Lonchura striata: one gene and its partner. The protein of the gene in region 1 binds, or shares a complex with, the protein of each later gene. Links are inferred from orthologs where the notes say so. Each region holds a gene or a part of one and is shown in the gene's direction. Other genes may lie near its edges.

What was found. The genes of interacting proteins can lie anywhere in the genome.
Region 2: the proteins of RET (region 1) and DOK1 are in contact, whole or in part, in a crystal structure (PDB 1UEF), measured with the Mus musculus proteins. The link is inferred for Lonchura striata from reciprocal best matches to the Homo sapiens genes RET and DOK1. Residues at the interface, in NP_033076.2 of Mus musculus: Thr1056, Trp1057, Ile1058, Glu1059, Asn1060, Leu1062, Tyr1063; in NP_034200.4 of Mus musculus: Tyr203, Thr204, Leu205, Leu206, Arg207, Arg208, Tyr209, Gly210, Arg211, Asp212, Ser217, Phe218, Glu219, Gly221, Arg222, Arg223, Thr230, Phe242, Glu246, Ile249, Gln252.

Annotation. Positions count from the first base shown.
Region 1 is NC_134609.1:8,398,015-8,405,187, reverse strand, and holds the start of RET (proto-oncogene tyrosine-protein kinase receptor Ret), read left to right. Parts: upstream 1-4,108; 5' UTR 4,109-4,204; coding exon 4,205-4,250; intron 4,251-7,173. UniProt on the Homo sapiens protein: Receptor tyrosine-protein kinase involved in numerous cellular mechanisms including cell proliferation, neuronal navigation, cell migration, and cell differentiation in response to glia cell line-derived growth family factors (GDNF, NRTN, ARTN, PSPN and GDF15).
Region 2 is NC_134606.1:2,361,555-2,368,479, forward strand, and holds the start of DOK1 (docking protein 1), read left to right. Parts: upstream 1-3,911; coding exon 3,912-3,974; intron 3,975-4,108; coding exon 4,109-4,402; intron 4,403-6,599; coding exon 6,600-6,708; intron 6,709-6,925. Other genes in the region: protein O-GlcNAcase-like, read right to left, coding at 1,309-1,348. UniProt on the Homo sapiens protein: DOK proteins are enzymatically inert adaptor or scaffolding proteins. They provide a docking platform for the assembly of multimolecular signaling complexes. DOK1 appears to be a negative regulator of the insulin signaling pathway.

The DNA of each region.
Region 1 (7,173 bases):
CTTCACTTATGCCAGTCACTGCTTTCACAAGAATCTGGGTTTTGCCTTGAAATCTATCTATTTATTGGACAATCCTAAGCTCTTGCTTAAACTTCTTGTTATCAGGACAGTCTGTAGCACTTTCTCCACAAGTATGACTTCTTTCCTCCTGACTTGAAAGAAATAGCTTCTTGGTTCCCTTCTCTAGGTGCCAAGATGGAGACATCTCCTAGCACAAGTTTGCTGCTTCTTCATGGTAGTCAGTGTTTCTGACCAATTCATAGCACTTTTGGATGAGTATTTTGGGAAAACAAAGAGCTTTTAGCTCTTTCGATGCTCTCAAGTGGATAGAAATTAAATAGATAATATGGATACTGTGCAGTTTATATGTTAGCAATATCTAACAAATAGAAAATAAAGAAATTGACAGAAGGATAGGAAAATAAAGCCCAGGGATTGTGGAAAAACATGTATATAAGAACTTTAAGTATGACATGCAGATAAATTCTTTGTCACTGTCAGGATCAAAGTTTAATCTGTCCTTTTACTATTAGATCTACCTCAGGAAGAATATCTGTTTAGTGCCACCGTAGTTGTAACTGTATGAAAGACTTGACAGTTTGATCACAAAATAGTGTTGAATGTTAATAACCCATTTTTGTAGGTTTAAAATAGTTTTGTCCTACATGATCAACAGCAGCATCTCAGACTGAGTTTCTACAGTAACCAACTTCATAGCATGGGGGAAAAAAGTATTCAAGCCCTGAACTGATCGAGAATTGTATTTTAAATACAATATCCTAGGAAGGGTTTTACCCGAAAATATTTCAGTGTTTGTGCATGACTGTTTGGAAAACATAGAAAGGTGAAAGAGTCCTGAAGTGTCCTGCCCTGATGCTAAATGAACATGATATAAGACTTGTGATGAAACCAAGAAACAGTTATCAATCAGCATCAGTTTCAGGAAGCATTATTGTATCGAGACATCTCATGGTGCCTTTATAAAAGGAAAACCTACAATAATTTAATAGTTCAGCCTGCTGTGCCAAATAAATGAGTCAAAGCAGAGGGGTGGGGGGAAGAGAAGGAGTATGAGCCATAGTTTTGCAATTGCACTAGCCTGCAGGAAAGTGTTGATTTACTTCCAAAGTATTTCTGCTAGGAGAATGATGGGAGATGCCACTGCAAAGCTTGAGTTTTTCTGGGAAATTAAGGACACCTCGCTTTTTTATTCCCCATTTACAAGCACAGATTTTCATTCAGTTTTCAAAAGGCCTTCAGACAAAGAAACCAAGTGAATGACGTGGAAGTGTATTTTATGCATAGTGCAGCAGAAGTTAGCTGTTGGAAAGAGATGGTTGCTATAGGCTTGTATGGCTCATGTAAACTCAAGGGCAGATGGTTCACAGCCTGTCTTGGGCCTCTTCAGGGATGTGGAAACCAGGCTGGGCATGAAGGGTTTAAGATTTTTCTCCTGAAGTTTGAATTTCAAGTGGAAAATTTAAAATGCCTCAATTTTGATAGGCTTTTCCAGGATTTGAGAGATGCTGCACTTATGTTATTTTTGTCTTCTGTATGGTAGGCTATAATTCCTGGCTGAACTATGTTTCCTCAATATACCAGTGCTGACATAAAGGACAGCAGTTTCAGGAAGAATGGTGACTACATTAACATGAGAGACGTGATCACAGTAGCTGGAACACAGAAGACACACGTATTTCATCCAAGTTGGATAGTTTTTTCCAGGTGCGTTGTGTGTAAGCTACAATTCTCTGAAAACACATAAAACTGCTTAGCTTAAAAGCCTGGAAATCAAATGAAAAAATTATTCTGGTGACCTTACTTCTGTTCCTTGCATGACGAACATGATGGCATCTAAAACCAGTTTTAGTGTGCTGGAGCAGAGCCTGAAGCTGGCAGAAGAGTACAGCTTTGGCTTCAGTTGCTGAGATGCCAGAAGAGATTGTAAGTCCTTGAAATTCTTCCAAGAAGTCACTTTGTCCTGGATGAAAACTGGCATTTATCAGTGCAGATGATAGTGGTGTATTTTAGATGGCATCAATATTGATTTGTATACTGCACGAGCTTTTAAATATGATTTAAGATAAAGCTTAGCTTAACCTAAGACATTTCTCCACAAAGCATTGATTTAATGTTAATGTTTTATGTGTTGCTTTCTTTGCTATAGACTTTCATTTGGTTCACAAAGACTTCCCAAGTAACCTTCTCAGTTTCCTCTTTCAGGCACTTGCAAAAGCCCCACAAACACTTGACACGTGAGTAAGTACTCAAAAGTTTAATTTATACTATGTGACAGGCAGCTTCAAAAGCAATTAATTAATGGTGGTTATTATTGCTCATCTCAAATTCATTATTACCCTTCTAGTTGCTTTGACTTGGCTTATTGTTTTCCCAAGCCTTATGAAGACCATGGAAGAAAATTTAACTTGAAGATCTAACAGAAAAGTTAAAATAGGTTAGTTCTTTTACTATTCCTGTAGTACTATTTCTCGTACTTCGCCTCTTAAAGTGCTAGGTATTGTAAGCAGAGTCCTTACTAACCTAGAGAGAGAATTTCTTTTTTGACTTATATTTAAATAATCTACAGCAATTCTTGCTAGGTGCAACGGCATCGGGTTATCTACTCTGTGTGTCTACTTGACCTTGCTTGGGCGTTTCAGAGTGTGAAGGCTGGTGAAGCCGAACACTGTAGCTGCTGATCTGTGTCTGAATCCTGACGACCAGATCTCTGGAGCAGCGCGGCTGTGTGGAAGCAGCATCGTCTTTCGGGAGAGGAGCAGAAAATAAATATCTCCTCGGCAGGTTGAAGATGCCGTGACAGGAGAGGTGCGGGGAGCGGGGCAGGGTTTGTGTCAGGCGGCAGTCGCCGTGGCCCCTCCAGAGGCTGCGCGGGCGCGGTGCCCGCGGGGGTCGGGAGGCTGTGCCCGCGGGGGTCGGGAGGCTGCGCCCGCGGGGGTCGGGAGGCTGTGCCCGCGGGGGTCGGGAGGCTGTGCCCGCGGGTGTCGGTGTCGGGAGGCTGTGCCCGCGGGTGTCGGGAGGCTGTGCCCGCGGGTGTCGGGAGGCTGCGCCCGCGGGGGTCGGTGTCGGGAGGCTGTGCCCGCGGGTGTCGGGAGGCTGCGCCCGCGGGTGTCGGGAGGCTGTGCCCGCCCATCCCGCGCTGCCCGCGGCTCCGGCGCGGCCGCGGCAGCCGGGGCAGGGCGCGGGCGGGCCGGGCGCTGCGGCGGGGCCGCCGGGCGGAGGCAGCGCCGGCGGCGGGGCTCGGGGCGGCGTTTGTGAGCGGCGGCTTTTTCGGAGTGCTTTTCTCGCCCAGCCCGACCTGTCACAGCGTATTTCAGCTTTGGCTCGGTTAGGTTTCCCGCCCCCCACCCCCTCCCGCTTGCGGTTTAAAAGTGGCGTTTCGCCGCTCAGCGGGACGCGCGCGTTCCGGGTTACTTTGGTTGCCTGCCAGGTAGCGCACATCTTCTACAGCATCCTCCTACCATCAAGCAAAAACTGTCTCCTCTCCTAAGGATTAATTATTCAACACGTTTAATGTGTTTCGGCTGACGGGGAAGACGGCCACTCGGGCACATCCTGGTGCCGCAGCGCCTGTCCCCGCTTTGTCTCGCACCTGGTGTGTTTGCGCGGCTCGCCGGTCTTCTCCCTCAGGCCGCCGCCTCCCGCTCCTGCCGCCCGCTCCCCGCTGCTGCCCGCGGGGCCGGGGGACGCGGGCCGGTGCCCGGCCCCGCACCTTGCCCGCGGGGATGCGCGGGGCGGGGCCGCCCCTCGGCGGAGGCTCCGCGGGCGGGGCGGGGCGGGGCGGCCCGGGCAGAGCGGCCCGGCGGCCGCGGAGGAGGGGCCGGGGGCTGGCCGGAGCCGGGCGGTGCCGCCGCCCGGGCAGCGCGGGGGGTTCGGCGCCGGGCGCGGCGGAGCGGAGGCTTCGCTCCTGACTTCGCTCTCCCCGCAGAGCCCGAGAGGCGCCGGCACCGCCGAGGGAACGAGGCGCTTTCTTCCCGGCCGGTGGCGGCGGGGCGGCACCGGAGCCAGGAGGACCGAGAGAAGGAGCGGCGGAGAAGCATCCCGGCGCGGGCTGTCCCGTCCGCGCCCGGCTCCGTGCTGCCGCCGGCCCGGGCCATGGGCCGGCCCGACTGAGACCCGCGGACCGTCCGGCAGCCCGGCCGGTGCCGCCCGGAGCGCCGAGGCGGGGCCGCACCGCGCGGGGAAGATGCGCTCGGCGGCGCGGACAGCCGGGCTCCTCCTGCTCTGCGGGGGTAAGTACCGCGAGCCCGGCCCCCGGGAACTTGGCGGAGCTCAGGTGGCACCCGCGGCTCGCTCCGGCCCCGAAAATCTTGCCACAAATACAGACAAGATATAAATAATCCTGATGCGTTTTCTTCGTTTTTTAAAAGCTAAGTTAGAACAGATGTGAGTTTGCTTTTCTCTGAATTTATGATGTGAAAGGGAAAATATTAAAGTATATTCCCATTTTAACTTTCTAAAACATTATTTCTTCTCTGCTATCCTATTCCCAGAGCTTTTTGTATCATTAGATAAAATGCGTTTTGGATTGGTAAATGAAAATGACCAGAATACGAATAGTGATTGCATTGTAAGTTGGATGATGCTATCCGCAGATGTCAAGTTTCTAAAGCAAACAGAAAATCCATTATATCTCTTTTTCTTCCATATGGCTTTGTTTGCTGATGGATTTCTGACGTTTACATGAATAAATAAAAGTTGTATGCTAGAGAATGCAGTACAACCTTGCACGTCAGAAATGCATTTATGAAAAAAGTAAAGCCCAAACTACTTCACTAGTTGTTCTAACAGTGAGTAGAGTGCAATATTAATTCTGCCCTTGTGATTCCTCATAAGCATGTGACTTTTTCCTTCTTGTTATTAATTCAGATTAACTGTATTAATTTGTACCATTTTAAACTACTTGCAATACTTGCAGATATTATAAAGCTCCTATTTAATTTTTAATTTTTTTTTACTACACTGAAATACTTTAAGTTGCCCATATGTTTTCTCTTCTTAATAGGTTGTTGTTAAGGCCTGATTTTTGTAAAATCTCACTAGTAGTGAAGTCTATGATATAAGGGTATAAAATGTGTAGGATATACAGCATCTAAACACACTCATCTAGTAAAAAAAAAAATAAAGTGGGTTGCATCCCAAGACATTTCACTGTCAGGAAGAATTAGCCATACTTGTATTGCTAATGGATGATCTATCATGCCTACTTTGCTTTTATCTTTGGCAAATCCATTTTCTTTAATGTTTTTTGGCAGAATTAGGAGAAATGTAATTTACGTAAGTTTCTCGGCTTGAGGGTTATCTTTTCATTAGCCAAAATGATTCACATGCATTTGCTTGAAGATGATTTTCAGTGATTTCTGTTTAAGCTGGACAGATGAGTTTTCTTCAATTCATGCTGAGTTACCCCAGATTATTGCACATCCTGAACTAGCTGGTGTTAGGAACTCTGGAGCTGCATTCTCAAATGGCTTTTTTTTTTTTTTTTTTCCCCTCTTGCAGCGTTTCCCTTTCAGTTGGACCACCATTTGATTTTACTTTTAGTTGTACAACTTTACATGAATTTCATTCTGAAACTCTCAGATGGGAAAGGGGTTCTCTTTACTGAAGACAGGTATCTAAACCTTCCTAAATATCAGACCTCAGCAGTTGGAAATAGTTTCAAAGACTTTTTATTACTAAATGTAGCCATAAATTGTTAACTTTTGGATCTGCCAAAAATATATTTGGAGGAATATTATAGGAGCTAATTTATTTGAGTAGAGTAGGCTGCCAAGTAGATTTTTTTTTTGTATACTGCTTGTTTATACTTAAAGTTAAAAATGTTTTGCTTATGCTCGCAGCTTTGACTACTGAGGCTTAATACTTGGTTCTCCTTATTTTCTGCTAAAATTGTTGGGAAGGAATGTTGTGTACATTTATGCTTTGGGTCATTATATTTATAGTTAGGGTCATTGTATTCATAGTTATTTCAGGAATTATTCATAGCAATATTCTATGGGTGTCTGTTGATAGAGAAACACTGCTTCACATTGTTGAGGTGTGTGACACTAATTAGCTTTTATGCAGTAAGAGCTGAGTTTGCAGCATTGTGTCTTGGAGGTACTAGCAAAGCCCCTGCATGCACAGAGTTCCAGTTTAGGAACCCAGCTGTCTCAGGAGTGATGATGCATTCTTATCGTGGAGAACACTGTGAAACTTCAGTGGGCTCCATCCTGGGGGAAAGCCAGGGTCTCTTCAGTGATAACTGGCGTGCTCTTGCCAGGTGGTGTGAAGGAATCTCTTTCAGCTGGGCAAGACCTCATCATAGAGGCTTGCCACCCAAAGTTAACCTGCAGGGATACCCTTGCACTCAATTGCTATTGGTACATCTTTGGTTTATAGAAAGGTTTTGGAGAGGTTAAAACTGCCGTAGTTCATAGAACGCGTGCTCTCAACAAACCCGGAGGCATTTTACTGAGTGAGCTGGCGTGGGCAATCCGTGAGCGTGCTGTTAGTTGAAGGGATTAGGTTTGGTTATTTTGTATTGGTGGGCTGCATAAAGCACACTGGCCCATTTGTTCTGAGGCAGAAAGGCACAGCCTTGGTGCTTCTGCACCACAGGCAACGTGTGAGTCTCCTGCATGCACTGTCCTTAACGTGCAGTAGCCTAAAACCAGCAAAAATAAAAGGAATGTTTCTTCTCAAATTAAGGCTTCTGTCTCTTTTACCAATTAAAAGAAAGGCAGGGTTTTATTATGGAGTGTGCACCTGTCTTTTGAAAAAGTTTTGCATCTTGTCAGTTGCAGGACTTCAGGGTGTTAACTTGCTTGTCATGCTGCCTGGCTGTTTGGTGCTGGAGTTTTGATTCTGAAAGCTCAGTGATATCAGAGTAGGACCTTGTTCAGTTAAATGTAGAAAAGAGTGCCTGTGGGAAAGACTTGGTAGGATTGTCTTGTCTGGAAAGTAATTTTTGTAATTAAAGGGGATTCTTTTGACAAGATAATTTCTTTTCAGTGAATAAAACGCAGTTTGTAAGCATTACACTATGCAAATTTTTTAAAATTGAAAGGGAAATCTAATGGAAATAATAAGGTTTCTACTTCAGCAATGTGCTCTTGAATGCAGATTATTCAAACTTTTTTTCTATTTTATTGGCTGTGATATAAAACTTCT
Region 2 (6,925 bases), on another chromosome or scaffold:
CTGCTTTCTCTCTGCATCATGGGCAACTTTGGAGTCAATCACTGCAATTTCCAGCAGCCGGGGCCAAGGGGAGCAGACACTTGGGAAATGACAGCATTCCCAAAACTGGGTGGTGCACAGGGGCAGGCTGCACTGACTCCATCAAGCTGGGAGAAAGGACCAGCTCTCCATGTCTGGCCAGTGTCACCTGCATTTCCCAAAGTGTCTGAGTGTCCCAGAGCTCATCTGCCCCCATTCCCTTGGCTCCCTTTGGCAGGAGCCCACCCTGCAACCCCCAGCACCGGTCCTGGGCAATGGTGAGGGGGCTTGCACCACAACAACACCCACTCTCCATCTGTCTTCTCTCTGCAGACAGATTTTCTACCTGCCTGAACACCTACATGGTTATTCCACGTACTTTGAAATAATATATGGTCACCTTGCTATGGTCACACACCCCACTGTGCCAAAATTTGTGGCCACTTGAGAATCCCAGCAAACATTTCACCTCAAAAAAAGTTATTTCTGTGGTAAATAATTTGCTATTTTGAGATCCCAGCGAGGTCCCCAGAGTCCCTGTATGGCCCCTGCAAGTGACACTTTCACAGCACATGTTGCTGTGAGCTGGCGTGGGCTGGCAAGGAGGCCTCTGAGTGCTGCACACACCCTGCCAGCAGTGTTCTCCTGGAATGGATTTGCCAGCATCATCCCTGCCCTCTTCCCCAGGTCAGCTCTACTATATCAATGATTCACGTCTGACTCATGTCAGCTTCTCCACCCCTGCATTTCCTGTTTATTTTACATTTGTTTGCACGGTGCTCCTGCACCCTCTCAGGTGAGGCAGAGGGCAGTGCCCCTCACAGTGCTGCCAGCAGAAGGGCAGATGATTCTGCCTGGTGGGTGCTCAGCTCCAGAGGGAGTTGGGGATGTGGGGAGGGAGAAGCACAGAGCTCTCCCTGGCCGGCTCTGGCCACGGGTCCTGCACAGCTGTCCCACGGGTAGGGTGGGCAGGGGGGACACACCGGGAAGCTGCCCCGAGTCCAGGGCAGCCAAGAACCCCTTGCAGAGCTCTGGAGGCCGAGCAGAGGGTCCCTGTGTCCCTCTGGGGGCTTTGATTCTGCTGGGGTGGCTGCAGGGCTCTCTGGGGAGAGCTGGGAGCATCCCAGAGGTGCTGGTCCAGGCCCCTGGCAGAGATGGGGCCCCACTCCCACCTCTCCCACAGCCTGGGGCCCTTCCCGAGCCCGGTTCACTTCGGGTGGGTCGGAACAGCCCCTGCAATGCCCGGGCGAGTCGGGCACCGGCCCCAGTCGCGGCCCCGGAGGGACTTACCTTCCACCACGCCGCAGAGGAAGCGCGGCCGCTCCGCCATCCCCGCGCAGGAGCGGCCCCGCCGGCCGCAGGGTGCGCGGGGGGGGACGGAGAGATGCGCGGAGGGATGGAGGAGTGCGCGGAGGAACGAGGGGAGAGATGCGCGGGGGGATGGAGGGGGAGCGGGGGGATGGAGGAGTGCGCGGAGGAACGAGGGGAGAGATGCGCGGAGGAACGAGGGGAGAGATGCGCGGAGGGATGGAGGGGGAGCGGGGGGATGGAGGAGTGCGCGGAGGGATGGAGGGGAGAGATGCACCGAGGGATGGAGGAGTGCGCGGAAGGACGGAGGGCGCGCAGAGGTGGAGGGAGAGATGCGCGGAGGGATGGAGGAGTGCGCGGAGGAACGCGCGGAGAGATGCGCGGGGGATGGAGGAGTGCGCGGAGGGATGGAGGAGTGCGCGGAAGGACGGAGGGCGCGCAGAGGTGGAGGGAGCGCGGAGCGATGCGCGGGGGGATGGAGGGTGCGCGGGGAGGGATGAGGTGTTCGCGGGAGGGGATGGCAGGTGCGCAGGGGGACGGAAGGATGCGCGGAGGGATGGAATGTTTGCGGGGGACGGAGGGTGCGCGGAGGGCTCCGCGCAGGGGCGGCTCCACCGCCCGCCCTCCCCGGCGGGGACGCGCTCGCCGCAGCGCAGGGGGCGGCCCCGCGGGTGGGGCCGGGCCGCGGGGCGGAGCGGGGTGGGGGGGTCCCCGAAATCCGTGCGGAGCCCCTGCGAGGCGATGCTCCGGCCGCAGTCTCGGAGCCCGCGGACCGGAGCCCCCGGCGCTGCAGCCGCCGCCGCCTCCGGTGTCCACGGCAGCTCCGGTCCGCCACGTCCCCAACTGCGGGGGTCCTCCCGGTGGAGCAATCCCTTCTCCCGGCTTTGAAGCTTCCCGGGAGCCCCACAGCCGCAGAGTTGTTCCCGAGGGGTGGGGTGTCATTATCCTTGTGTTCACCACCGAGCTGGCACCTGCCCTGGCCACACCCTCATGCCAGGCCGAGGGTGCCATGCCTCTGCAGGTCGGTCCGTGCCCTCGGGCGGCCCTTGTGCCTCGCAGGGGACTCAGCTGCTGCCTGTGCCGGGCTGTTTGCCTTGTGCCGCCCTGCTCTGAGCTGCTGACGCTCGTCTGGCTCGTGGCTGTCTCTGCCACCCTGTCCTGCAGCTGCACAGCACAGAGCTCTGCCCACACACGGCCCGGGCTGTTTGACACCGCCGAGTAATCTTGTTCTTTTTCAGACCACTGGGCCTGTTTGCTGATGTCATTGTTTTGCCAGGGTTTGCGGTCTGATCTTTCGTCTGTCTTGTGCACTTTGTTATTGGTATTGCTGTGGTTACATCCCCTTGCTGTTTCTAGCACACTGTTCTTATCTCAGCCTGTGTGATCTTTACTTTTTGTGCCTCCAATTCTCCTCTCCATCCTGCCTCGGGGGAGGGTAGGGCTGTGAGCAATTGGTCTGGGATGTTTCAATGTGAGCACTTAATTGGGGAATGTCATTCCTAAACCAGGACGCCAGCACAATTATGGTACCGTGAACATGTGAAGGGTGATGCCAGGACAGTGCAGAGGGTCACCCCTGCATCCATCCAGGCACTGCAAAGCTCCCCTCAGCAGCTCTCCCCACCTGCAGCCGTTTCATCAAAACCACAGGTGGAGAAATGGGGATCAGAGCCTGGAAAACCAGGATCTGTGGCTTCTCCCTCTTCCCTTTGCAGGTTTATATTGTGTCAGGAAACCGAGTCATGATGCCTAGGCCATCAAAGCAGCAAGAAGCCCAAGAGTGTCTGACCAGCAGTGACCTGGCAGGGTCACAGTGCCATCAGAGTGCCACCAGGCTGGTTCATCCACGCTGGGGTGTGCTGAGCACAGGCTGTGCTTGTCCTTGTTCCTTGCCTCGCAGCCAGCACCTGTCCCACCTGCAGCTGGGAATGCTGGACTCAAGCCTGGCCCTGCAGGAGGCTTCTGGGGCACACTGGAGTGGCCAGCAGTGGCAGGGACAGTTCTGGGAGCAGCTTGGTGCCCCTGGAGTGGCTTTGGTGCCCAGGCACATGGCATGGTTGGAGGCAGGGAGATATGGATAGCATTGCCCCATCCACAAAGACAGAGAATGAAATCGTGCACGGCTGTGCATACACAGGTGTTTGCTGTGATTCTTCGCCTTCTCTGCTCTCTCTGCGAGCACCTGCCCATTCCACGATTTTCCTGAACTATGTGCTTGAGGTAAGCAGCCTCTAGTCCTCCCCTTCATTTCCTCTCCTGTCAAAGACATCACTCCTTTCCCCTGTGCTGTGAAACCTCACCTCTCCGCTGTCCACTCCCCACATTGCCCTGGCTTAACCTCAGCCCATCCGAGCGCGTCTTCCCGTCCCCATGGAGAGCACACGGCTGTGCCACACGTGTGTGCACACACCCAGGCGTGCACACACGCGTTCACACACGTGTTCACACGCACACACGCGTTCACACACATGTTCACACGCACACACGCCAGCACACCCCGCCCCTGACACGCTCGTCCCCGCCCGGTCCCCACCCGGTCCCCGCCCCGGTCCCCGCCCCAGCGGCGCGGGCGGAAGCGCTCGGGGATGGAGCCGCCGGCCATGGAGGGGCCGCTGCTGGTGCAGCACAGCCACAAGTTCGGCACCAAGGTGGGTCCTGGAATCCCTTCCTCCCTCTCCCTCTTCCTTCCCTTCTTCCCTTCCTCCCCTCCCCCGGGCCCGGCTGCGCTCCGGGGCCCCGTGCGGGGAGCGGCCCGGGCGCGGTGTGACCGCGCTGCCCGCAGCGCTGGAAGCGCGGCTGGTCCGCGCTTTACCCCGCCAGCCAGCACGGCGTGGCTCGCCTCGAGGTGTTCGACTGCAAGGAGCCGTCGGCGGCCGGGCGGGCGGGCACCCGGCGGCTCGCCCGCACCGTGGTGCGGCTCAGCGACTGCACCAGCGTGGCCCCGGTGGGCGAGGGCGGCCCCCGCGCCGGCACCGCCACCTTCCGCCTGGAGACCCGCGACCGCAGCTTCCTCTTCGCGGCCGAGAAGCAGCAGAGCGAGGAGTGGGTGGCGAAGCTGTGCCAGATCGCCTTCCCGGTGAGCCCCGGGCTGGGAGGGCCGTGCAGGGTGGCACAAGGACATCGGTGTTGTGGGGGGGACGCCTTCCCACCTGGCAGCCCAGGGAAGGACATCCTGAGGCAGCGCCTGTGGTCTCAGTGCCCGGCCCTGGCACTCCGGTGCCCTCTCGATGGCTCCTGCTGTGGTTTGTGGGACTTTCTCGGCGTGCTGTCAATAATTCGAGGTTGTGGCTCCGAATTTCAAGTCGGGCTCTTCTTGCCGGGTGCAGAGAGCTGGCAGGAGGCCAGCTGATGGCCGAGGAGCGTTTCCTCTTGGCCCAACCATTGCTGCCTTTCCTGCCACAGCGGCGGAAGCGGAGCCCCGAGAGCGTTGCGGGACCTGGCTGGTTCCAGGACCTGGAACCCCCTTTCCCAGCCTTGGGGCTCGCTCCTGGCTGCTGCTGTGGGCACCCCATCTGTGCTGGGGCTCTGGAAGAGCTGCCCAGCCCCCTGTCCTCTGCAGCCCCTGGAGCTGCTGGCCAGGCAGTGTGAGCAGCCAGGGCTGTTTGGGCAGTGTGCTAGAAACAGCAATGGGATGTAACCACAGCAATACCAATAACAAAGTGCACAAGACGGACAAAAGATCAGACCACGAACCCTGGCAAAACAAAACACCCTGACAAGTGTGGTTTTCTGTGCCCTCTGGGACAGCAGCCCACGCCTGCCCAGCTCCACAGCGCTGGCTCTCCCTCCTGGGAGGTGTTTGCAGAGGCCTGGGTTTGGCTTCAGCTGATTCCAGGCTTGGAGTGCTGGGCAGGGCTGCCTGGCAGGAGGTGCACAGCTGGTGATCCCAGGATCTCCCCTGAGTGTGATTTACCTTTGTCCCTTGAACGTTTCCCTGCAGTCTCCTGCCCAGCCAGGTGTGTCTGTGCAACAAATGCCAGGGCTGGGAGGGCTGGGAGGCACTGGTGGAAATGTCTCTGTGCTGCCTGGTGCAGTCAGGGTTGCAGCTTTTGCCTTGAAAGAGGCTTGTGGGGCTGAGCTGGGGGCACAACACAACCTTGGAGTGGGGCAGGGTGGTGGCCAGGCCAGGGAGCACCTGCCTGGAGCTCCCAGCCCCCACACAGGAACCGTGATTTTGTGTGCCTGAGGTCCAGAAGCAAGCTGGAAGTTTGGGAGGTTGTGAGCAAAAGGCTGCAAGGCTGGCATGTGTTTTAAAAAGGCCTGACCTGGAGCAGGAGGCACAAGAGCTGCACATGGCCTCTCTGCACGGAGCTGGAGATCCTCAGCTGGGATTGCTGATCATCTGCATGGAGAATGTGATTTTGTGTCATGTTCCTGCCCAGAGGGTATGCAGGGTCCAGCAGCTTGGGAGCTGGAGCCAGAGGTCATTTGGAGTTCAGAACAAATTTTTGAATTTCCTTTTGAAGATGAGGAGAAGTGCAGTCAAATGGAGACTTAGAGGCTTTGGCAGATTTGGTGGCCCTTGGCTTTCCAGTCCCAGGCTGGAGCCCTGCTGCATTGGATGCTTTAGCTGGGGAGGAGCTACTGCTATCAGCTCTCAGGACATGAAGTTTGAGGACCCAAACACTTGATGGCCCTTTTCTTGGGCCTTGTTTGTGCTTCTTGTTAAGAAGCTAATGTGTGTGAGTTTTAAACTGAAGCTGTGGCACTTGCCTTCTGCGAGATGCACCCTCTGCTGCAACCCCAAGGAAGCGCTCCGCACACTGAGCTTCCCTTGTGCCAGCTGCACAGGGCTGTCATTAGTGAGCAGCTTTTCTGCAGGAGGATCTCTGAAAGCACCGAGGGTTTGTGTCCTGCCCCAGGCCCTTTGGGGGCCCTGCTGCTGGGACACAGTTGCTGACAGCGTGTGTTGCGTTTTCAGTTCTGCTTGTGCTAAAATAGAAGCGCTCGCTTCCCCTCTGCAGGCTCCCCCTCCTCCTGGACAGGACACAGACCCCCGTGTCACCAGGCCATCAGTGCTTGGCATGGTATGGCCAGGAGGGTGTGTTTGGGTTGTGCCATGCTTTGGGGGCAGCTGTGCGGGCGCAGAGCCCAGCTGGGGACAGGGCGCTGCCAGGAGCTCAGGGAAGTCCCCCCTGTGCTGCCTGCCCGTGTTCGTGTGGGCTCAGGGGATTCTGTGGGCAGGGTGCAGGACAGCCAGGCTGTGTGGGGGCCCAGGCCTGGGGGCTGATGTGGGGAGAGAACTCTGGGTCTGATCTGCTCTCCTTTGCCAGGGAAATGGCCCCAGCGATGGCGTGGTGTCACAGTATGGCCGAGAGGGCAGCGGGGAGTCACCGGCCCTGGAGATGGCTGTGAACTCCATCTACTACTCCAGAGATGAAGGTGGGACCTGCTGCTGCCCTGATGTGGGGCCACCTTCCACGGAGCCTTGTCCTGCTGCTGCCCCATTATTGGGGCCACGCTGGGCAGTGCCTGTGTCCCTCTGCCCTGCTCTGAGCAGCCCTGTCCCCGCAGTGGGGCTGGCTGTCCCCTGAGCAGCTCTGCAGAGGGGCTGGCTGTCCCCTGAGCAACCCCGCAGTGGGGCTGGCTGTCCCCTGAG